Linked DNA regions of Rhinolophus ferrumequinum. The protein of the gene in region 3 interacts with the protein of the main gene of each other region in a pairwise test. Links are inferred from orthologs where the notes say so. Each region holds a gene or a part of one and is shown on either strand. Other genes may lie near its edges.

Region 1 (7,612 bases), on a different chromosome or scaffold from region 3:
CCTGAGGACTAACTTTTGCTGATCCCCTCTCATCTTTGCTTTCTACTTGAATTTCAGACACTGTGGTCTCCATTTTTATGTTACACTTTTTCTCTTTCTAGAAAATGATATTCTCTCTTCCTTAGCATCTGTTGATGACAAGAAAAGTGGGCAAAAATATCATACTAAGCAAAATTACTTCTGGATGTATTCACTCCTTTCGTTTTACTCCATACAGTTGTTTGAGGTGGTTTCTCCAGTATACAAATGCCTGGTTTCTCTATTACTTGTTATTTATCTCTTTAATTTCTTCACGAAAGCCCTTTACTTGATAGATTTTTGTTTTATTTAAAGATCAACCTGATGAGAGAAAAGAAAGTGGTATTTTATTTCACTATCATCAGTCTATTGTTTTCTATAGAGACTACTTCCGTTGAATGTATGTAATATCAGACATGTTTCCCATATAATAACTTACTGAAAATGACTGGAGAATAAAAATTGGGGTTAACTTTTGCCCTTTCAGAAAGATTTCAATATGAATGTATTTTGCTCTATTCTCTGTTACAATTTCATTTTGAATTTTTCTGCAAATCTGGTATTTTACCAATTCTTGAGTTGTGCTGTCTTTATGAATTGTGAGTGACTCTGAATTGTGAGTTAACAAACAAAATACAACAAAAAAACAATGAATGTAAGGTGATAAGCAAGTTAGTGTAATTTTTATTACATACAATACAGAATTCTGAAGCTACAAAGGATCGTGGAGATTGAGATTAACCAAATCCAGTCAGGATGAAGAAATTGAGCACCAGAATGGGCTGTTGGCCGGCTGAAAGCCATACGGTTAGATAAGGTCATAGCCCCAGTTAGAACTGAAGACCTTGACCCTCCAATGTCCTTTCCATTAGACCACAAGGTTTCTGTTCTGAACTGTACATTCCGTCAAGGAGGTGAAGTGCTACTTTTCATACATACTCTGGGGAAATGTAACATTGCTGTCTTTCTCCACTCTTAAATCTAGTTGTATAATGCTGACATCTTTTTCTAAGTATTTGCTGTTCAAACATTTCCCTTTGTAAGCACATAGTTGAAGGTCAGTGAGAGTGAATGATCATAATAGTTGCCATTTATTGAGCAACTTCTGTGTGTTTGGCAGTGCCAAGCACTTTTACATACATCTCCAACCCTCCCCACAGTATCACAAAATGAGAAGGTGGTGGTATCACCATCTACAAATGAAGAAAGAGGCTTAGAGAGGTTACACAACTAGTAGGTAACGGAGCCAGATTCAACCCAAGATTGGCTATTTCTGTTTCTGAAGCCCATGCTCTGAAACTGTGTTTTAAGAGTTTCATCAGAAAAATGAATTGTCTGGAGATGCTACTCTGCACCAGATTCACTAGTCAAAAATCTTAAAAAGGCTGAATGGTTGGTTATTTAACCATAATGTAGCCCGTCAATTTATAATTGAATCAAGATTAGGCTGAGTTCTTGCTATTTTAAAATCAAGCTTTTGAAATTCCTTATATTTGATTTTCTTGGTTTTAGAACTAATTTGAAAGCCAAATATAAATGATAAGCTGCACAACTGGCAAACTGTTATATATAAATACAAAAGTATATTTAAAAATTAATCCACAGAATGGTATGATGGTACCAATGTACAGATGAGGTGATCGTCTAAATAAAAACCCTATGAATTTCAGTTGATCGATGTCCTAAAATAAACAAAAGGGCTCAGTTCTTGTACTTCCCCCTCTGTAAATCGTTCACTTTTTAAGGTTTATTTGGGTAGCTCTTGATTTTATGAACCACAGAAGGAACTGGAACTCTGAAAATTGGTTTATGATCTAAGTAAATACTCCCTTAGGTTGGGTGTTACATACACCACGCCTCTGGCCGAAAGACAAAGTCATCCTAAAACAAGGATGGAACTAAAATATGGAACACTTTTAGTGTCCCTCCTCATGTAATGCTTCCATAAGCAGAACTACAGCTGATTATACCTCTCTTTAAGTCTTCTCCCCTCTTGTGAGTTATCAGCACCTGAGAACTTTTAACTGGAGGATGTATAATTAACAGAAATAGTGAAATTAGATCACGTTTAGGAATGTATCATTTGAAACTAACATGAATTGCTCAAAGACAACTGTTTGAAAAGCTCACTTGAACGATTACCACACTGTAGATATAAAACAAATACCAAACAATAAACTAAAATGGGAAAATGCAGTCTGTAGACATTAAAACTTTGCAAAATGTTAGACTGCAAATGATTTGTCCTTAGCCTGCCAGGGTAGTTTTTTCGCCTCAGGAATCTTCAAGTTCCTGTTGTCATTTCCTCACAGAATCAATCGCAAGTGTAATGCCATAGAAAATACCCCTTCCCCTTTTCCCTTGAGCAGAGAAGCACGGAAGCAAAGAGCAACCACTCCCCGAGGAAAGCAGTGACTCTCCCAGCACCCGATGTGGACCACGAAGCTTCCTCCTGGAGGAAGACGTCTCTCGTTCTGGCTTGATGCTTCTTATGGAAGGAGCTAGAGCGCAGGATAAAGTACTCAAAAAGGAAAGTGCCGGGGGCGTGCAACAGATAACCCAGCTTCAAGCTATCTGCACAATAACAATGCCAGAAACCCCAAATCACATTTCCTTAAATAAAGGGCAAAGAAGGAGAAATCTATCAGCAACCCATGCTTCTAGGACGAACTGTAAGGCTAAGGAGGGTAGGTGGGTAGAGCTGATGAGGGTCGCGCAAACAGGAGATACCTGCGGACAAATGACCTTCGCGGGTCTTACCTCGGCCATCTCCGGGTCACGCAGATTTCGGGGGTCCAGCCGACCCTTCGGCCCACCCCGCCGCGCAGGCGGTCAGTGGATCAGACACTGGCCCGCACCCTCTTTCCCCGCAACCCCTTCGCCCTCCTTCACTCACCGAGGCCGCCGAGGTCACTGACCGGGGGTGCATGATGCCCAGGTTGAGGGTCGTTCGCGGGGCCGGGCACCTAGGCAGCCAGGAAGCTACGGTCGCACCGGGAGCGAGCAGCCCTCTACAGATGGACCGCAGTCTTGGCGGCACCCCCTCCCCAGAACGCGGGAACTGACAGCCGGCAGCACCAATGCGCGCCGAGCGGGCGGGAGTGGGGCGGAGCCAGGGGCGGTGGGCGGGTGGGGGAGGGGGCGGGGATCAGCAGGTCCACCTGCGAGCAGTCTTCCCAGCCACGTGGGAGCAGACCTTCGCGCTCCGAGCCTGGGCGCGAATTCACGCGGCGCGACCGCATCCGGGGAACTGCAGGTGGACCACCGAGAGAGCCGCTAGATGGGGAGGGGACCAGAGTGGTGATGATTTCCGCATTTTCTGAGACGCAAAGTAGCAAAACCTGGTTTTAAATTATAGGCACTCCTATTATAAACCCCCCTCCCCCGCCCCATACACACCGAATATTTGGACATAGCAGATATCACATTTTAAAGGTAGGATTCAAAACTGTGCGGCGTGGGATCTCGTTTGAGAGAAAATTACATATGTGAATTGAAACAGAAAACAACAACTTTCCCAGAAGTGGGTGTGGGTATAATGAGGTTATCACGGTTCATTGCCAAACAGCTGTCAGAGACCCAAACCCGAGTCTTGTCTCCCTAGTCTAGGGGACAGGTAGAAATGATGCCACCTGTGTGTGGACAAGGTCAGAAGGGCACAGGAACCCAGCCCCACCCCATCCACCTTTTATACTTTACGTATTTCCAAGGCTAAGTTGAGGGTGCTTACAAGTTATCTGTGTTTCCCAGCTTAACCTTGTCCCTCAAGAGGGTGGGATGGGGTGGGTGTGGAGAACAGGAGACGGCTTTCCTTACAATTCCAGTCCCACGTAGAGCAAAGGGCACAGGCAACATCTAACTCCCTCCTGCATGACCGGCTAGGTTCTTTTCAGAGTCTTTATTTAAACAAATTGCTAGCAATAGTGAAAAGCACCACAAGCACTTATTTGTACATGTAACACATTGTTTTCATTAACACCGGTGAAAGGTGTTGCTATGAGAGCTTACGATGACTTGCTTTGGGTTTACTATCACCTACAAGGGCAATCCTGCAAGCTCCAGATGTGAGGTCCTGCAGGATATCCTCTTCCTGCCTCCTCTGTCCCCTCCCAGGCACACCATCCAGATGAAGAGCATGTTATGGAGGGAAGAACTACTCAACAGCAGTTATCCTTACCTCCTTTCTTCAATAGGATCATGATCTTGGGAAAGTAAATCTCAGTTATCCATTTTTGGATGTTTTCCCATGAATATATTTTACCTTTTGAGATTCTATAGCTTTCACTCAGACTTAAGGAAAGAACTATTAGGACACAATAGCAAAGCTCAATCTAAGTTGTCAAGATCTTAAATTTACAGGTAAGAGACAAGAGCTATAATACAGGAAAACCCATAAGCATCTAGTTTAAATAATTCAATCTTTAAAAAAAGAATTAAATTTACCTTTGCTCATTCATTAAACACCAGTCTGTGAAAATGTCCTTTATATCCTCAGATGGGCTGTTAACCCTGCTTACTGACAGTTTTGAACTTTAAAGAAGCCAAAAATAATCTATACCACTCATAACCAATTGAGATGCGATTACTCACTGAGATCCAAGTTTTTTCAAATCTAGCATATCTGGGAGTTTGCAACCATTTCAGGTAAAAATGAGATGAGCTTATCTAGATGAAGACAGGGTAGCACAGCTGTCTTATTAGGAAGTAGTTGGCACGAAACAAGGAACAGGTTAAAACAATAAAGGCCACTGTAATGACTTGTAGATTTTATTCCACCTGCTTGTCTTAAAAAAAAAAGACTAGTGAAAGGGAACTGATGGGTGGTTTGAGTTAAGAGGCGAAGTGATTTTGTATTTGAAGGGCAAATTCTAAGGTATATTACGAATAACTCATCTTTGACCTCGACCACACACACACACTCTCCTAGTATAGTATTATAAATAAAATACTGCACTATGGTTTTTGTTTAGTATATGAACACAATCTGATGTCATATCTTTTAAAAAAAGTATACAGTACCTCATGCATGAAAGAAAGCTGTCATTCCTGAACTCACTTAAGTGACAGTTAGTAATCTATTACTCTCATCATTGTCTGCTTTTCCTTTAGTAGCTTTTCATTATATAATGAGAAACAGGCTATAAATATCTCTCTCCAATTTGATGAGAAATTATCCTACCTACCACTTATCTTGTTAACATTACCAGATACAACGTCCCAGTAAAATAGCTTACATATTTATATTATCTCTACCGATCAGATCATTTCTCCCATCCTGGTCCCTGTCCACTACCAGCCTGTAGCTACCAAAAATGGTTTCCAACTCTTTGGTAATCATCCTTACATTTTAGAGACCTTCTGGGAACAAGCCCACCACCTCTTCTACCCTGGTACACCATTAAATGAAAATTAGCTCCAGTTCTCTGGTGGTTGGATCTGTTCCTAGGTACCATCAGGGTTGCACCAGCCAACACAAACTCAGCAGTAACTCTGTTGTAATGTTTCACTTGACAGCTCATAAGTGCTGTCTCTATTTTGAATTGAGTGTATATCCATCTTCAGTGAATGGCAACAGCCTCTAAGGTGCAGATCAAAGAAGGTATAATCTGTCAGTAATATTACTAGTATGGGGAGGGAAGGCATTAGCAGCCCAGAAAAGGGTAGGAATGGGAACAGCGAGACCAGTGATCTGGGAGGACTCCTAGCCCCAAGATAAAGGCACTGGACCTTGTCTGGCAACACATACTAATATATACCCCAAACACTAATATTCCTGTAGGTCTTGAATTCAGGTCTCCAATTAGTCTGTAGTTATTTTTTGTTGTTTTTTATGCCTTCTGTTTATCACAGATTAAAGAATCAAGTCCACAAAACCCACGTCATCAATAACTGGTTGGCAGCCTTCTTAACCTCTTTATTTCTTCCCCCTAATTCTACCTTTTATTACTCCTTCCTTCGGAAGGGATGTGAAATGGGCACAGCTTCCTACCTATCACAAATGGGATGTCCATTTCTGTATAACCTGGCAAGGGATGCCTTCTAAGAAGGGCTCTGTAAGGCAGAATGATGGTAAAGAGCAGAGGTTTGGACTCAGATGATCTTCAGTTCATCTGGCAGGCAGCAGCAATGCAATTTTCAAGTTTACCCTTCTGTAAAATGGACATATAAACCTAATTTATATATTTGTTCTATTATAATTTATCTCCACATTTCCAACCAAAGGTCAGCTCTCATTCTGAAGCTAGATGTCCCTCTTTGAGCAATTCCACTGCTAGGAATTTGTCCTATAGATGCTTCTACACAAGCTGCAAAGATACATGTTATGGGAATAACATGTATTCACTGCTACATCATTTTTAATAGCAAAAATTATCAAACAATAGTAAGTGTCCATTGATAGGACTGTATCAATACCACACAGCTGTAAGAAACAAGATAAATCTTAAAATACGGATCTTACTATAGTAAGATCTCTAAGATATACTGCCAAGTGGAAAAAGCAAGTTGTACCATTTGAATTGTTACTGAAGGCATAGTGTACTTCTACTTAGGAAATTCTTGCATTGGTGATGCTACATTTATTCCAAGCAATACCTGGTAAAAAGAATTTGCATTATTTATTGTATTAGAGATTTGTTTATCATCTTTGACTTATAAACCTCTTCTCCCACCAATTGTGTTTACTATTCCTATCGACATTAAGGATTGAAACCCACATGGCTTTTGGTGATATGAGGAAGCCTAAATCCTTTAAGATGATCTTAAGTCACCATGTCTGACAATAGACTGCTTTCTTCCCTTGTTTACAAACTGAATTCCCAGCAAGTCCCATTCCAGATGAGGTTTTAGAGGACATTAAAAAAAAAAAAAAAACACATCAGAAACAGTGAGCTCTGTGCAGACAGGGCCCGGATGATGCTTTAGAACAGGACTCGACCCCACCATTGTGAAGAAAGTGTGGGGGAGCCGGGGCTCTGCGCTCATGACCCCTTTGCCATATGCCCCCCAGCACTGCCATCATTTCTCTGGACAGCAAAACTGATTGTCTGACGACACCGATGTGAACCTAGGGGATTAAAAATAATATAACAAAAGATGTCAGGAAAAATATTGCTCTGCCAACACCAGTGGGGAACGCAACATCTCCTGGAAGGATCCAACGCAGGAAGACAAGCGGGCGAGGGGGGAAAAAACGGGAGAGGAAGAACACAGACAGAAAACGAAAAAGAGAAGGGAAAACATTTGAGCAAAAAAAAACATTCTGTAGGGAGTAGAGCCCAATTACTTGGTAAAAGCTCAATAAATATTTGCTGAACCAACAGAGCAAAAAGGGCTAAGCTACAGTTAGTGCTGTATGACCAGACTTCTTTGAGGACTCTTGAAATAAATGGTGCTAAAGCTGTGACAGGAAAGGCAATTCCGAGGAAATTCAGGACAAAAACCTGTATGTGTAATCTTTTCCCAAGGTAAAAAAAAAAAAAAAAAAAGGAACAATATAGAAAGGTATATGATAAGAAGGCACGTCCTCCATATGCTGCTTCTCCTGACATGTGTCCTCCCAGAAATACACAAGCACGTACCGTTTTCCCCTTTA
Region 2 (7,530 bases), on a different chromosome or scaffold from region 3:
TAGGGACCCTCCCTCTTCCACCCGGCTGTCATGGCTGGGGGCTCCTAAGTGCTCCTGTTCAAGGCTGTCCTGAACTGGGATGATCTTTAGTTGCCCTTTGGCCCCCACTAAGCCTCAGGCCTGCCTGCCTCATGTCCTTCAGGGCTTATAAAGTTTTGGGGGCCAACCACACCTGTCGGCCAGTGATGTCTCAGCTCTGCCCCTCCCTTTGCTTCCCCTGGGCCCCTCTCCTGCTGTGGCCCCAGAGTGGCCACCCACCCCCTATCATCCATTATGCCACGTTTTGGCAACTGAGAAGGGGCACAAGTGAGAGGGGCCATGCAGACAGAACCAGCCTCTCCTCTGTTTCTGGGCACAGCAGCCTCACAGAGATATTCTCTCCCCTGCAGCTCCCCTGGGCAACTCCACTAGTTGGGCATTTTGGTGGATGGCTTCGAGAGTGGGCAGTGGCACCTGCGTCTTTTCTTAGAATGAGGCTGGTTCCCTGATCCCCAGAAACCTCCCGAGGACTTGCAGTTAGTTCTTCATTTGCTCATTCAAACCCCCGCTTTGTTCTGCAAGGATGTGTGGAGCACCCGCATTGTGCTGGGCCCTGTGTCCCATGCTTGGGGTGACGGCCAGCAGCGGGGACCTGCTCCCTGCCCTCCTGGGGCTCACCTGCTAGTGGAGAGACAGCCCTTCAGTAATTGCACCGATGGACCCACGGCAGGCTGCAGTACCCCCAGTGGGGTTCCAGACTGGCAAAGAGACACTTGCTCAGAGCCATGAAACAGTCACTGGGCAAGGGTGGGGGGAAGAAAGGACATTTCAGGAGGAGGGAGCTGTTTTACAAGCCTGGTCCCTTTCTGCCTTCCTTGGGCCGCACCCTGAACCCAGAGACCCCACAGCACAGGGTTCCTCCTGATAGCCACCCGGCTTCTCTGCTCTCTCCAGGCCTTCCTCACAGGCAGCTTCTCAGAGTCTCTCTGTCCCCCTTGTCTAAAAGGCTAGCCCCCCACCCCACCCTTTACAGCCTCCTACTCTGTCCTATTTTTCCTCCTTAGCACTCAGACTCGAACATCCATGAAGGGCAAGGGGTTCTGACATCTCGTTCACTCCCCGTATTCTCAGCCCCTAGAACCGTGCCTGGCACACGGTAGGTGCTCCGCCAATGCTGGAACTCTTGTTGAATTATGCACTGGAAATTGCTCTCCAAACTGTTAATCTCCAAGGGAAGAAAAGGGGTGGAACTGCTCTAATTACTTACTCCTCTCCTACTGCCTCTGCAGACCAGGAGTCTCTCAGCATGGTGATTGGGCTGAGAAGGGAGAGCATTAGGGGACACATGTCAGCGGCCTGATTTCACGTCCTTACACACACACACCCGGGGCCCACACCTAAGGAAGCCCCACCTCCAGCACCTGTCTCTTCCCAAAGCTCCAGGTGATTCTGATCACAGGCAGGTAGCAGGGCTGCTGCCCGGGCTTAGTCTCCCCGTTTGTGGGTTTAAGGCTGATCCCCCCTCCTCTTCAACTGCTGCAGCTGCTTCCAGATGGGTGGTGCAAGGTGAGCCCACTGAGCTGGACTGTCCTCCCAGGGCGTCCCCACCACCAGCTTCCCATTGCTCCCACCACAAAACCAAGGCCACGTTTTCAGGGGATGGGGCACCTCACCTGGCTGCCAAGGGGCAGGGTCCAAGGGGCTCTCTTTCTCGCTTTTCTTTTTATATTTTGGAAATTTTGAAACACATATAAAAGTAGTGCGGATAGTATAGCGAACCTCCACGCACCAGTTTCTTAACTTCAACAATTGTGAACAATTTTTTCATTCTTGTTTCATCTCTCCCCTGCCCCCACTCTTCATTCTGTCACCTTTTTATTTTCCTGGACTCATTTAAAGCAAACCTAATGTTATGCTAATTCAGTCATAGTACTTTTCCATATGAATCACGAAGGGCCTTAAAGATAGTTATGCGACTATCACATCTATTAAAATGAGTAATACTTTTAAAATATTATCTAATACCCAGAGTGTGTTCAATTTTCTGCTGTTATCTCAGAAGTATCTCTTTGTAGTTGGTCTATCCAAATCGAGATCCATACAGGTTTCCCATACTGCACTTCATTGATTTGTCTCTTCAGTTTCTAGTCTTGCAAGTGCGCCCTGACTAGCTTCGAGGTTCTCCGTGGTAGCTGCCTATGTCCTGGGAGCTTTCACAAAACACCCATGCCTGGGCCCTACCTGGACCAATTAGGTCAGAATCCTTGGGGTGAGCTGGGCCTGGATGTTCGCTTTATTCGTTTTTATTTATTTATGTGTTTAGCTTCCTGCAGTGATCCTGGCATGCTGCCAGGGCTGGGAACCACTGGAACATATGTTGGGATTCTCAACCGGCAGGAGCGATTGTGCCCCCAAAGGGACATGTGGCAAAGTCTGGAGATGGTTTTGGTTGTCACAACTTGGGGAGGTGGTTGATGCTACCAGCATCTGGTGGTTTGAGGCCAGGGACCCTGCTCAACATCCTATAGTGCCCAGGACAGAGAATGATCCAGCCCCAAACGCCAAAGTGACTTCATTGAGACATTCTCATATTGAAGCACAAACCCCACCGGTCTGAAGGGGTGGGGGGAGGTGTGGGGAAGGAGGCCAGGTGAAGGGAAAGCAAATTAAACTGCATTCTTTCCATTCCTTATCTCAACCCCATGTAGTTGACAAAAAGAATCCTGCTAGGTCTCCTCTCATTAGTCTCCCCTCCCCGCCAGGTTAGGATTGGGCCCAACTCCCCTGAGATGGGCGGCTCCTCTCTTGGCTTGAGGCAGGAGAGCCCAGGAGTAGAGAGGATGGTGCATATCAAAATGTACCACTAATGGCCTGGGTGACCTGTCGACTTCCCTGTGCCACAAGTCCCACTCCTGGAAAATGAGAGAATAACTGTCTGTCCCTCAAAGGGCTGTTCTGAGCAGGTGGTGACATCAGGGTGCATGCATAGGTATCCTGCTCACTGTGGTACCCAAGTTGCTAGCACAGAGTAGATGCTCAAAACTTTTTGTAGAAATGAATGAGTCCCTATTTCTCCTTGTGGAAACCAGGGCGCAGAGATGGGCTGATCTCACAACCAGCGCACAGCACTCATCCTGCTCAAGGCTTCTCAGCCTTTAGAAAAGGTCCTTCTCCACCCTTCTGGAACAAGTATGGGGATGGCTGTGCCTACCATCCCCAGGGGCTTCCCCCACACCTCCGTTGCCACTTTTAGAGGAGACGAAAGGACACAGGACCCTCAGTAACCCACTTTCCCTCCAAGGGTGGGGAGTGGGAATAGGTGGAAGGAACATCCTGCCTCTATCCCTACCCCCTTCTGTCCTTCTCTTCAGGGAGGACATGATACATTTTCTGCCCGTCACTCTGGACTTGATATGGGCAGGGGAACAAAGAGACTGCAACATCTTTAGGGATGATTCAAGGGGAGAGCACAGCTAGGATGCTGACTCTACTTCCTGCAACTCAGTTCTTGACTGCAACTCAGTTCTTGACTGCGTTCACCAAAGGAATGTCACTGTCCTGCTGTGTGACTCAGTTTCCCCTTCTAATTCTCCAGAAGGACGCAGAACACCTGGTGTGGAGACCTGGTGCGTGTAAGATGGAGCTGGTACAACAGGCTTGTGACAATGACAGGAAAAACACGTGGTAGGGGATCGCTTTTGTTCCTCCAGGCAAGCAGGATACTGCCTGCAGAGGCCGCCTCACAGTGGGAGCCGCCGCCTAAGAAACCCATGTGGATAAAAGGCCCTGCACCCACACCAAGGGGTCTGGGGAATTGCTCCCCGCTAGGAGGTATCAAAACCCTGAAGCCTGTCCAAAGGTCAAGAGACAAGTCCTAACACCCCCATTTGGCCTGCACCCCCATGTTCCCCTCACAGAAGTGGGGTGTGAAAGCACGTGCAGAGAGCGGAAGGGCAAGACCCTAACACAGGGAAGCTGCATTTTGATCACGAGGAGCATCTGAAGCCCCACAGCTCTAGCGACAAGATGGGGAAGGGGCGCACTGCTTACGTGACCCCAAGGCCCAATGTAGGGCTGTGGGGCTGATGCTGGCGAGATGGGGGACGTCTTGCCTCCCCTCTATGCAGCCAGGCAGTGGGGCGCACTCAAGCATGGGTGGTCCTTCTTTTCATCACCCAGGGCTGCGATGCACAGCTTCTGGGAGCTTGGCACCCAGGTTCGGGGAGGGGCGCGCGGTGGAGAGCCCCCCGCCGCCCTGGACCGCGGCCCAAACTTTCCCCAGGTTCCTCCCGGGCCGGGGAAGAGGAAACTGAGGTGGGCAAGGGGAGGCCGGTGGCGCGGGCGCCGGGCACGCCCCGGGCACTCTCCCCAGAAAGGCGGCGGGAGGGCCCTGCTCCGCCCCCGCAGCGCCCCGGCTCCCGGCGGGTGCGATCCGGCGCCTGCGGGCAGGGCGGGGCTGCAGTCAGCACCGCCCCGAGGGGCCGGGGCCGGGGCAGCGGGAGGCGTGCGCGAGCGGCGGTGGCACGGTGCGCCGGCCGGGGCGGAGCGGCCCCAGCGCACTGCCCGGCCCGGGCCATGACCCCCGCTGCTCTCTCTTGCAGGCTCGTCGCCGCGGCCCCCAGAGTCCGGCTGCCGCCGCCGCCACCTGCGCCTGGGAGGGCCCTGTGCGCCCGGGGCGCGGCTCCGCAGTGAGCCCAGCAGGAAGCGGTGAGTGTCCCCCGCCACGCGCCCCCGGGTGCCTGGACCGCGATGCCCAACCCACCCCACTCCACCCCTTCCACAAGAAGGTGCTCTTCCCGGGAGCCGCAGCCCGGCTCAGCGGCGTCCACGCCCGCAAGCTCCAGCGGCGGGAGGGGCGCGCTCCGGGGAGGCTAGGGGGGCCCAGGGGCGGTAGGGGTCCCTCACGGGCCCGGGCGTCCCCCCAACTTCTCGCGGACTTTTCTGCGGAGACCCAGGTTTGGGGAAAGTTGGGCCCTCTCTGGCCGTGTTGTAACTTGCACCCGGCGGGTAGGGGTGTGTCCCTACGCGTGGGACCTCTGGCCCCCCACTCTCCACCTGATCCCCTGCGCTGTCACGAGTTCCTTGGGAAGGGAGCAGACCGCCATTCTTCAAAGCTGGAAAGGAGCCCGGCCGGGGTGGGGGCAGGAGGCATCGAGAGGAACCATTTCCCCTCTATCGAGTATTTAAAAATATATTATTTATGAACCGCCTCACTTAGGGGCCCCCTTCGCTCCCAGGGCATCAAAGCAGGTTTGCAACCGCAAAGGCGATCAGTGTGAAGGCACGCGCGACTTCTCCTGGCCCGCTGAGCTCAGCAGAACTGAGGGGAGGCGTTCTTTACAAAGAGGGGGACCCACAGCCCCACGGGGCCGCGTGGTGGTCGGGGTACCCGGCAGTAGGGCCTTCTCTCAGACGGCCCCTGGCTGTTAGGCTTGATAGAATGGAGAGAAAAGTGTGCAGGCCGAGCACCCCTGAATCACTGAGGAAGAGGGAGGAAAAGGAGTTGAAAGGCAGCCAGGAGAAGACGCTTAGAAGGTAGTGCAGCCTTTGTGGAACAAACATCCCATTTTACAAATCAGGAGCCTGAGGCTCAAAGGCACTCCTGGATTGGCAGGTTCTGGGGTTTCCTGTCCAGCTCACAGAAGTCCTCGGGAAGCCCCTGTTTGGGGCTGGATTAACTCTAGAAAGCACCCCCTAACCTGTCCAGGCTACACCTACCTTGGGTTCTGTGTCCCCACCTCTAGGTACTCCTTCTTCTGGATGGGAGGGAGGCCGTGTATTTAAGGAAAGACTTAATCCCTCTGCCAGCTCCAAGGAGGATGAAAGCTCTGCCTCCTAATCTCCTATCCCTGAAGCCCTTCCCTTGCTGGTGGGGTCCCTGCGCCCCAGCTTTAGCTCACGTCTGGAGACTTCAAATGGAAACTCCCCTCAGTGGACACGAGAGCGATGATATTTAATGTTTAATGTTTCGTGTGCCAGACCCTGCACTACGTGCTGGTGCCAAACACCCGCATTTTCTCTTTGCATCCTCTGACCCAATACTGTTATATCCCCATTTTACAGATGAGGACACAGAGGCTTGTAAAGGTAAAATGACCTAAGGTCACAGGCACAGTGGCAAGTCCAGGCCTTAAACCCTTACTCCTCACAGTGAATTCCTCTTGAATATAGCAGAGGCCAGGCCTCTGAGACCACCAAGTACAACCCGCCCCCCGCCCCCATTAAAAGATTTTTAAGATATATGCACACAGTTATATGTACACACCAGGGAATCCCCAAATCAAGGAACCCTCTCTTGTCCCTCCTAGCCACGCCTCCCCTTGTGTCCCCTTGAGCCAGTGGGGCGTTCTGTGTCTTCCACAGGCACTGCCACATTGTAGTTACTTTTTATCTGGTGCAAAGAACACATTAGTTTACTTTCATCTTTGCAGGGGATGAGCTGTCAAGGACTCACTGCTGTGGGCTGGTAGTTTGTGACTCCTATCTTCAAGGCTGCGGTAAAAACAATTGCATGCTTTTAAATTAAGCCTGTGGTTAATTAACCATTCACTTGACTTCTAATAGCATACTCCTTATTTTTAAATGCCCATTTCTCTGGACAGGTACCTTGGAAAGGTGCACAAAGCGTAAGCATTGATCTTGATCATACGGGAGGCTGAGAGGAGCAGTGGGCAAGTAGTTTGCTCCAAGTCCCTGGGCCGATCAATGGGAGGCCAAGGCTGGACCCCAGGCGGTCCAGAGCCCTGCCTGGTGACAGAGAAGCAGGTGGGGATTTCAGTGGGCACCCTGCTCCTACCCCATCCCCATCTTTTTTCACTTCCTGTTGGTGAGTCCCCGTGGACCCTGCAGCTGCCCTGCCTCCCAAGAGGAGCTCACAGCCTCCTGCAGGTCTGTAGGCTCAAGCCAGGGAGATGCCCCTGTTTGCCCTCTGTGTACCAGGATGGGAGACATGTTAACGCTTGTAGCATCTGTTTCCAGCACAGTCCCTTTGGCTGGAATTGCAGGAATTCTAATCCTGTGGCAAGAAGAAAATGCCTTTTCTAAAGAAGGAAGAAAACCAAGATTTGCCGTGTGCCTCCTGGGAGCCCGGCAGGGTCAGCCCCTGAGTACCTTCTTCCCTGTGTTTACAGGAGGGAAATAGCGAGACAGCTTGCCCAGACTGCCCCAGCAGGGAGTGGAACCCCATTCCATCTAGTTTGGTGGGTCCACCCACCTTGTCAAACTGTCAAATTCCTCAGCTGTGATTCTTCACTCCCGCCCCATCCTTGGTCCTCAAATGAGGTCTTTGTTAAGGAAGTAAGGTGAGGTGCCATGGTGAGTCATGACCTCCAAGGGGTTGTTTTGATTTCATCTGGGAGGTGGCTGTAAAGAGACCAAGATCAGACTCCTAGCCTGACCCTGCCTTTCACTTTCCCTCTCGGGGCCTCCATGGCCTCATCTGGGAAACCCAGGTATAGAAATAAGACAACCTCTGCATCGGGTTGCCAGATTAAGCAAATAAAAACACAGAACGCTCAGATAAATTTGAATTGCAGATAAAGGATGACTAAT
Region 3 (7,999 bases):
ACTATGGTACTTAGCCTACTGCCTCACATATTACATCCCAATACATTTTTAAAATTTACTTAACAAAATTTGTTGAGCACCCTACTCTGTGCCCAGCAGTAGGATATGAGATATACAAATATAAATAAAACAAATATGAATAGATGTTTATTGAATCCAAAAATAATGATCACCCATAGTCTAGCTAAATTTTATATAAAATATATCTTCTCCATATTAAACTTAGCATGTAATTCCATAAGTTATTGTTTGGTTCCTGATGGAAAAAAATTAAATTTATTCCTGAATACATTTGGTATAACACATTTTTATGTTCTTTGAGAAATAATTTCTAAATGAGTAAAACTGCCTTCTGAAAAAAACCAGGCTCAACAAAATTTCAAGAGCAATGCAAAAGATAAACAAATAAGAGTGCTTTAGTTTAAACCTCAAATAATAAAATCCATGATGACTAATATATTTCATAGTGCCTCTATAGTGAATAGTGTAGAACTCGACATGTTAGAAGTGGATGTCATGGGAATGAACTCTACGGTAATAAATCAAATTCTCATACACAGCCATGGCCCCACCAGGATTGGCTGTCTAGTCTGCAGGTTCTTCAGCACTAGGCTCTACTAGCTCAGGTGAGAATACTTGTAGGTCAGACATAATGTCTACCATCACTTACTCAGAGCAAAGAGCATCCCTCAGAAGAGCCAAACCCAGGAGTTATTTAACTCTTAATATCAAAATGCTAGTAGTCATCCAATAACTAAAAGAAAGTCTAAAATTTCAAAAGCAGATTATTCTGAAAACAAGACATAAAAATACAATATCTTTAATTCATAAAAAAATGCATCTAGCAGAGTACTTAATAGCACACTAAAATTTGCACCAATGCAAATTTGCACCAATGGAGATAAGCTGTGACTTGGAGCATCTGAATGCATAGATGATGCTGAATTTTCAATATTTTTTTCCACACTTATTTATCTTCATAATTAGTTTTGATGAAGTCAACAGTAAAATTAGTTTGTGTCTCCAATAGTGAGAGCACCTTACACCTAAGTTTTTGCAAAGGTAATATGTGTACAATTCTCGTATAAGACTTTGAGACTGTGAACGAAAGAATTAAATCTTTGAAACTTTTACTATATAAATTTATGCATCATCTAGCACACTACCTTGTACAGAACAGGTGTTCAAAACACAACTGATAAATTAATAATTCGTTTACAAAAAAATCAAAACTTGATGCTCATAGACTAAAAGAAATAAGAATATTTTTAGTCTGATAGTCTGTTATATAACAGGTACACAATACATTTGGATTTTACTTTTTGCACTAACATCTTAGATAATCTCTGTGTATTAATTTGGTAATACTAGCTAGCCTAACAAGCATATCCCCAAATTTCAATGGAGAAACACAATACAAATTTATTTCTTTTTTCATGTAAAGTCTAAAGTAGATTTTCTTGTAGGTGAGCATCACTACTTTACGTAGTAATACAGGCACTTAGCTCTTTCCATTTGGCATTATGCCCTCCCTGGGCCCTAGAAGCATCTGCATTCAGCTAAAGGATGGGAACCCAGAGGCAGGAGAATGCTTGTCTACTGCTTAACTGCCTTGGCCTGAAAGTGATAAAACACTTCAGCCCACAGTCCATTGAGCAGAACACGTCACATGAATCCATTTAAATGCAAGCAGGTGCAGGCCAGGAAGTGGAATCCCTACCTGGGCAGATGTTTCCCAGAGAGAAATATACAAAGGAAGGGAAAATACAATTTTTTAGTAGACAGCAAGTTGTAGTTTGCCAAGGTTCTTTTCTTTTCCTTTCTTTTTCTTTATAAGCAGAGGGCCTTATTAAAGTCATCATCCAAGAATTGCAAGTTCTTGAAAATGTAGATTCCAAGTATAAAGCAATCTTATGCAAGTATAATATAATCAAAGTCTGCCTGGGCAGTCTAACATGATTTAAAAAAAAAAAAAATGGCAGTAACAGATAGGATATCTGAAAAAATATCTGAATAAAAAAGATAATTTGGCCAGTTCAGCAGGCAAGGTATGAGGACATAACTAGTCCGTAGTTAACATTCTGTTGGCTAGTTTTCCTGACAGTAGGGTCCACTTTCGTTTAAGAAGATGTAGCAGTATGGAACCATACACGTGCATTAAAGGAACCTGATGATCATAAGATGTGTTGTAAAGTGATTATGATTCATAACTCTTTTTTCTACACATACCTCAGCTAGGAGGTGTCCTAGACTTGTAGCGGACTGAAGGGTGTGCCTCAAAGGTGTGCCTTTATTTCCTATCTGTATCATACAACTTTTTTATGGTGCTGACATTTCAAGTCTCTGATCTTGGTTCAAAGATATTTTTCCTAAACCTGAAAAGTGAGTCCAAAAAATGGTGGGAACTGCATCTTTGTTTGCCACATGTGGGAGAGAACATTGTGGCACTGGAAGTGAGCATTGCGGGGCATGGTTTCCTGGTCTTTCCTAAAGTAGGCCCTCTTCTTCACCCACAGGTCTTGACATCCCTGACTGGCTCTGTGCTCTTTGGCCAGGGACCAACTCCCCATGTCTGCCTTAGCAACTAGCTTTGCCCATGCTCGGGAGACTGTTTCAACAACCCCCCCTTCCTTAGATGATACAGTGACCTCTCAGAGCTCATATTTTTATGACAGTTTTATTGGACACTAGGCTTTATTGAAGGCAAGGACCATTTTTAAACACCTCCTCTTCCCTCCACAAACACCCCACACATAAATTACCTACCACAGTATCTGGCATATAAAAGGAAAACAATACATATTTATTGAATGTACTGTCTGCCTAATTACCACACACTATCCTGGAGTTGTAAATTGGGCATCGGAGTCTTGGAGCCAGTGGCAGCCTCCCTGAGCCAGTGGGACACACCCTGCATGGTCTCCTTTTAGGATAGGCCTTCACAGAGGTTCACGTGCCTTCTAGAGTGAGCTCTTATTCCTCGCAGGCCACTCTGCTCAAGTTATACTCCAGCGCCATCAGTCAATCCCAACAATTTATCAAGTTTGAACTTTAACGTAAAGCCTGCTAGAAAAACACTTATTCAGGTTCCATCTCCTAGCTTCCTGAATCTTTTATTAGGCCTTTTACTGGGTTCATGGTCCAATTCAGAAAACAGGAAAAATCAGATATTGAAAGAATTTGGAAATAAAACAGGAAGGGTCAAGGGTGAGAAATTTATTCAGCTCTTTTCATTATTCCCAAAGAAGCTCCAACCCTCTTGCCAGTCCTTGGTGCTGAGGTTGATAGCAGAGAGGGGCTGTGCGGACCTGCCCTGGCAGAGGGAGACCCATTCCTCGTTCTATGGCGAGGCAGTAGGTCAGAAGGAGCGTTTGGGCCACTGTCACCGTCTGGCCTCCGCCTTGAATTCCCTTTTTGCCCTCATTACAACGGGAGGAACCAGAGTGTGGATCCACCTAGGGCTTCAGGGTCCTGCAAGCATTGGGAGCATCAAATAGGTGTCCGGCAATTGGAAAAGCAGGGAAGGGAGCTGTGGTCCCGACCAGTGGCTGCGTGCGCGTGTGCGAATAGGGAAAAGACGCCCGTCTCCGGAGTTTCTCCCGCCCCCTCATTTCTTTCAGGAGTCCAGCAGGGCTGTCCCCGGTGACTCAGAGTTGCCCCGGGGTCATTTGGACTCCCGTCCCATCCTCCTCGGATAGCCCGCTCCCGCATCCCAGAGTGCCCCGCACATTCCGCCACGTCCCCGGCCCGCGACGCTCAGGAGTGGCCGGCTCCTCAGGAGGTATGGAGGCAGGGGTAGGAAACATGAATAAGCACCACACCGCCCACACAAAAGCCCCAATAGCAAAAACAACTGTACACGCATCACAGGCGGAGCACGGCTCCCCCAGGTAAGCTGTTTATTCGTCACCGTCTTGGCGATTCTCCCTGGGCAGCTGCGGCAGCGACAGCAGCTGTGCGGCGGGCCGCGGAACTCCCCGCGCTCTTCCTTCCTCCGCCCTCTCTCCGTCGCTTCTCACTGCCCCCCTTCCCTCCTCTTCTTCCCTCCTCCTTTCTTGCCCTCTCGCAGGCCACGCACACACGCGGAGATACTCTCCGCACTTGGCTCCTCACACTGCGGCTTAACCCAGCCCGCAAGGCACGGTGGCCAAAGCGGCGCGGGGGTGTGTGCGGGATCCAGGGGCGGAAGCCCAGTGGGCCTGGGGTGGCCTGGTAGAGCCCCTCGCCTCCCAGCCGCGACCCCTGCCTATTTTCCTTCTGTAATCCCGGCCTGCCAGCAACAGTGACACCTGAGCAAGGACTGGGGCAGGCCCGCTGGACTGACTGGCAGCTGGGAGAAAACAGAGCGGGGGGCGGGGTCCGCAAGGAGGAGCGGGAGGCGGGCGGAACCCGGGAGCTGCCACCTGGTAGAGAGTGACGTGCCTGCCAGCCAATAAACGCCCACAGCTCCGACGTCGGGGCGGGGAGCCGGGAGCCGGGGGCGGGCTCCGCAGGGAGGAGGAGGCTGCCGGGGCGCTAGAGGCGGGGGCCTGGAGGAGGAAGGGGAGGAGGCGGAGGCGGGCGCGGTGGCGGCGGCCGAGGCGGCGGCAGCGGCGGAGGAGGGTAGCTTGCGCCCGGGACTGTGTCTGCCGAGCTCCGCGGCTGTGTGTGTGTGAGTAAAGGAGCGGCGCGGGTTGGCAAAGGCGAGCGCGGGCGAGCGCGGCGGCGGGACGTCTACGGCGGCCGCGGATCAGCGGCGGCGCCGGGTGTGGGAAGCGGCGGCAGCGGCGGTAGCAGCAGCAGCAGCAGCAGCAGCAGCAGCAGCAGCACCAACAGCAGCAGCAGCAGCAGCAGCAGCAGCAGCAGGACCGGCGCCTCTCCGCCGCCGGGGACGCCGAGGCGCGGCTGGTGGCACTGACATCGGCGGCCCTGCCTCTCCTCTCTCGCCCCCGGCCCTCCCCATGTGATCGGTCTTAATCCCGGCAGTGTGCGCGCGTGGGGCTCCATTCCGCGGTGCCGGGTCTCCGTGCCAGGGTGGGTGCTCGTGTGTGCGCTTGTTCTCCCCATCCCCCTTTCCCAAGAATAAAAGAAGAACCAAGAGGCGCGCTTAGAAAATAAATAAATAACCACCACACACGCGTGCCCGGAGCGGAGTCGGCGGGGCTGGCGGCGGCGGAGGAGGAGTGAAGGCGGCGGCGGCGGAGGAGGAGGGACGCGCCGAGAAGGCAGTAACTTTAAAGCCAGCTCAGAGCCCAGACCTCCAGCCGAGCGGTTTGCAGCGCGGCGGCAGCGTTTAGTGTCTGGCCCGCCGGTCTGGTCGGGGTGTACAGTAGGACGGACGAGCAGCGCCTCGCTGTCTCCCGGCGGCTGGAGATGTCCGAGCCCAAGGCAATTGATCCCAAGTTGTCGACGACCGACAGGGTGGTGAAAGGTAAGCGGCGCGCCGCGGTCGCCGGGGTGCACCGTGTGCCGCAGGCACCCGGGCGGCTCGCCTCCCCTCCCCCGCCCCGGGTTCTCTCCGCGCTCCAGCCACGGACCTTCTAGGATATTGTGCAACCCTCGCACCCCCTCCCTCCCGCGCCCTTCCCCCACGCCTCCCACCCAGCCCTACTTGGGGCATTTTTATTTATGGGGGCGTCAGTTGGCAAATGGCTGAGCCTCGGGGAGGCGGCTGCGGGGGTGGCGGGGGCGGGAGGGGGCGCCCGGGGGGTGGTTGCTGGCTGGGTGTAGCTGCTGTGACAGAAATAGGAAGTGGGTGGCTGCTCGCAGGCTTGCATGGGATCGGGTTTATGGTTTTCTTTTGCAGAGGGAGGGGTGATTTATGGCTTTTAAAAAATTAATATGGCATTTTTATGTGGTGGAGGCTTTCCACCGACTGCCTGGCTCGGGCAGGGTTCTCTCGGTGCTCCATTGCAGCAATTCCCTTCGCGCCCCCTCCCCCTTCCCCTGAAAGGGCCTGCACAGGACTCGCGAGAGAGCGGGAGAGCGTGGGGGGAGCCCTGCACTCGCTTCCGCGTGGGGCGGGGGCGGCCGCAGGCGGAGGGGGTAGCGGAGGGGACACGCTGGGGGCGAGGGAGGCCGGGAACGACCCGAGAGCCCTGCCACCTCCTCCCCGGGATTCCCCTGCAGGCCCTGAGAAAAACACGAAAAGCAGTTCTCCAATCTCTCTCGCCACCCCCAGCCTTCCCCCGCCGACCTGTCATTGCTCTTGAGTGGTTCCCTGGGAGCACACCTCCCCAATCGTGAACTTGCCACGCTCGTTTCCCTGTGCCCCTGGCACCCCCCCGCTCTTTATTAATGGGCTATTTGATTCTCCCCGGGCGGGGTATGTTATACTCCTGGCGGGGATGGTTCTGGGATTTCTGGCGGAGAGAAGCCAAGATGATGAGTGGGGCGAGGAAGGGGACAGATAGTGGTCTCTTTCTTTTTGGCACGAGGGAATCCGCCGTACTTATTGTATTTCGTGGTGGACTCCAGGAGGAACCATCCTACGAATCCTGGAAGGATGAGACAACAGGGCAGATCCGCCAGGATTAAGTAGTACCCCTCATTCCTGGGGTCAGGACACTGGGGCAGAGCAGAGCTGGGCATGGACTAGGAGCAGAACTGGCCTTCGAAATTGGAAACCACGCTGGCTGGCGGGTGTGTGTGTTTTCTGTAGAATACAGATACTATCTAATGTGGCCAGAGCAAACAAGTAGAGTGCAAGGCAGTCAAGTCTTTTGCATCATGAGCCTTTTAGGTGAAGTAACCCAGCAGCCTAAGGACCATGATAACAGAAGTCATTCTGGGGCTTCTGAACTGTTCATTGCTCTATTCAGGTTTGTTCAGTTTTTAAAGTGTGTGTTGCGTGGTGATGGGGGAAATGTGGTCTCCTTTTTAAGAAAGAGAGAATAAAATATTTTGTTTTGGTTGTATTAGAATCAGTCCTGCTTCAGTGCAGTCAGTATTCATAGACCATCAAAACTAGGAGAACATATCTCTGCAAAAGTGACTGGAAATAGGACTACAGATGCACAGCTATTCTTTCTGCAGGCATGGGCCCTCCTTTAAACAGTCGATTCGTATTCATTCCAAAGAACTGTATTTATATTAAAATCTTCTGTTGACATATTAAAAAATTAAGACCTTTTACTGAAATACCAAAATAACAAATCTCTCCCTAATGTGTGAAGTTTAGGGTGTAACTCTAATCTGTAGGTTAAGATCACCTATTTTCAAAACAATGTAAAGCTTACAATTCAAATGATAGCAATAAGTGTGTCAGCAATTAAAAAACACTCGTGCACACACGAAACTAGGTTCTCTGTTTTAAATCACAAAATTATGGGTTCTTACTGTAAATATAAAATTGTCACCAAGTGAAGAATGTAAAAGTGACTGTTCATACATTCAGGCTCCCAGTCTTTACCATTTAATGTGAAAGAGCCCATTGAACCATTCCTTGGCTGTTTTGTCTTACTTTTTTTGACAATGCTATATTATACTGTGTTTCCAAGAAAATAAGACGTAGCCGGATAATTAGCTCTGTTGAGTCTTTTGGAGCGAAAATTAATATAAGACCCGGTCTTGTATTGTATTATATTATATAAGACCCTGTCTTATATTAAAATAAGACAGGGTCTTATATTAATTTTTGCTTCAAAAGACGCATTAAGCTGATTATCCGGCTAGGTCTTATTTTCGGGGAAACATGATATATATTATTATAAATGGTTTTACATTGTAAGTACATACACTATCCATAATTCCAAAAATTCGGTTTACATATTATTGCAGAATTGAAATGCAAATATGAGTAATAGGCTCAAAATAGGAAAAGTTAATTTTGCATTTGTTTTGATAGGGTGATGTGAAATTTTGAATGTGAAATTTCTTTTCTAGAAAAAAGTTTTAATGAATCCTGATTTTTAAGGTGGACAACTGTCACTATTTCTCTTATCCTTTCTTGTAGACTATATTGTTGGCCTAAAAGCTTTATCAAGTATTGGATTCAACATTTTGTCATACACATAATTTT

Evidence for each region.
Region 1: the proteins of PPP3CA (region 3) and AKAP5 interact in binary tests that used the Homo sapiens proteins (3 or more experiments, as listed by UniProt). The link is inferred for Rhinolophus ferrumequinum from reciprocal best matches to the Homo sapiens genes PPP3CA and AKAP5.
Region 2: the proteins of PPP3CA (region 3) and C15H16orf74 interact in binary tests that used the Homo sapiens proteins (3 or more experiments, as listed by UniProt). The two-hybrid records come from large-scale screens. The link is inferred for Rhinolophus ferrumequinum from reciprocal best matches to the Homo sapiens genes PPP3CA and C16orf74.

What each region holds. Positions count from the first base shown.
Region 1 is NC_046289.1:31,412,305-31,419,916, forward strand, and holds the start of AKAP5 (A-kinase anchor protein 5), read right to left. Parts: upstream 3,052-7,612; 5' UTR 2,915-3,051; intron 340-2,914; 5' UTR 74-339; coding exon 1-73. UniProt on the Homo sapiens protein: Multivalent scaffold protein that anchors the cAMP-dependent protein kinase/PKA to cytoskeletal and/or organelle-associated proteins, targeting the signal carried by cAMP to specific intracellular effectors.
Region 2 is NC_046298.1:30,897,705-30,905,234, reverse strand, and holds the start of C15H16orf74 (uncharacterized protein C16orf74 homolog), read left to right. Parts: upstream 1-4,489; 5' UTR 4,490-4,686; intron 4,687-6,410; 5' UTR 6,411-6,476; intron 6,477-6,581; 5' UTR 6,582-6,684; coding exon 6,685-6,744; intron 6,745-7,530.
Region 3 is NC_046288.1:52,516,798-52,524,796, reverse strand, and holds the start of PPP3CA (protein phosphatase 3 catalytic subunit alpha), read left to right. Parts: upstream 1-4,968; 5' UTR 4,969-5,352; coding exon 5,353-5,410; intron 5,411-7,999. UniProt on the Homo sapiens protein: Calcium-dependent, calmodulin-stimulated protein phosphatase which plays an essential role in the transduction of intracellular Ca(2+)-mediated signals. Many of the substrates contain a PxIxIT motif and/or a LxVP motif.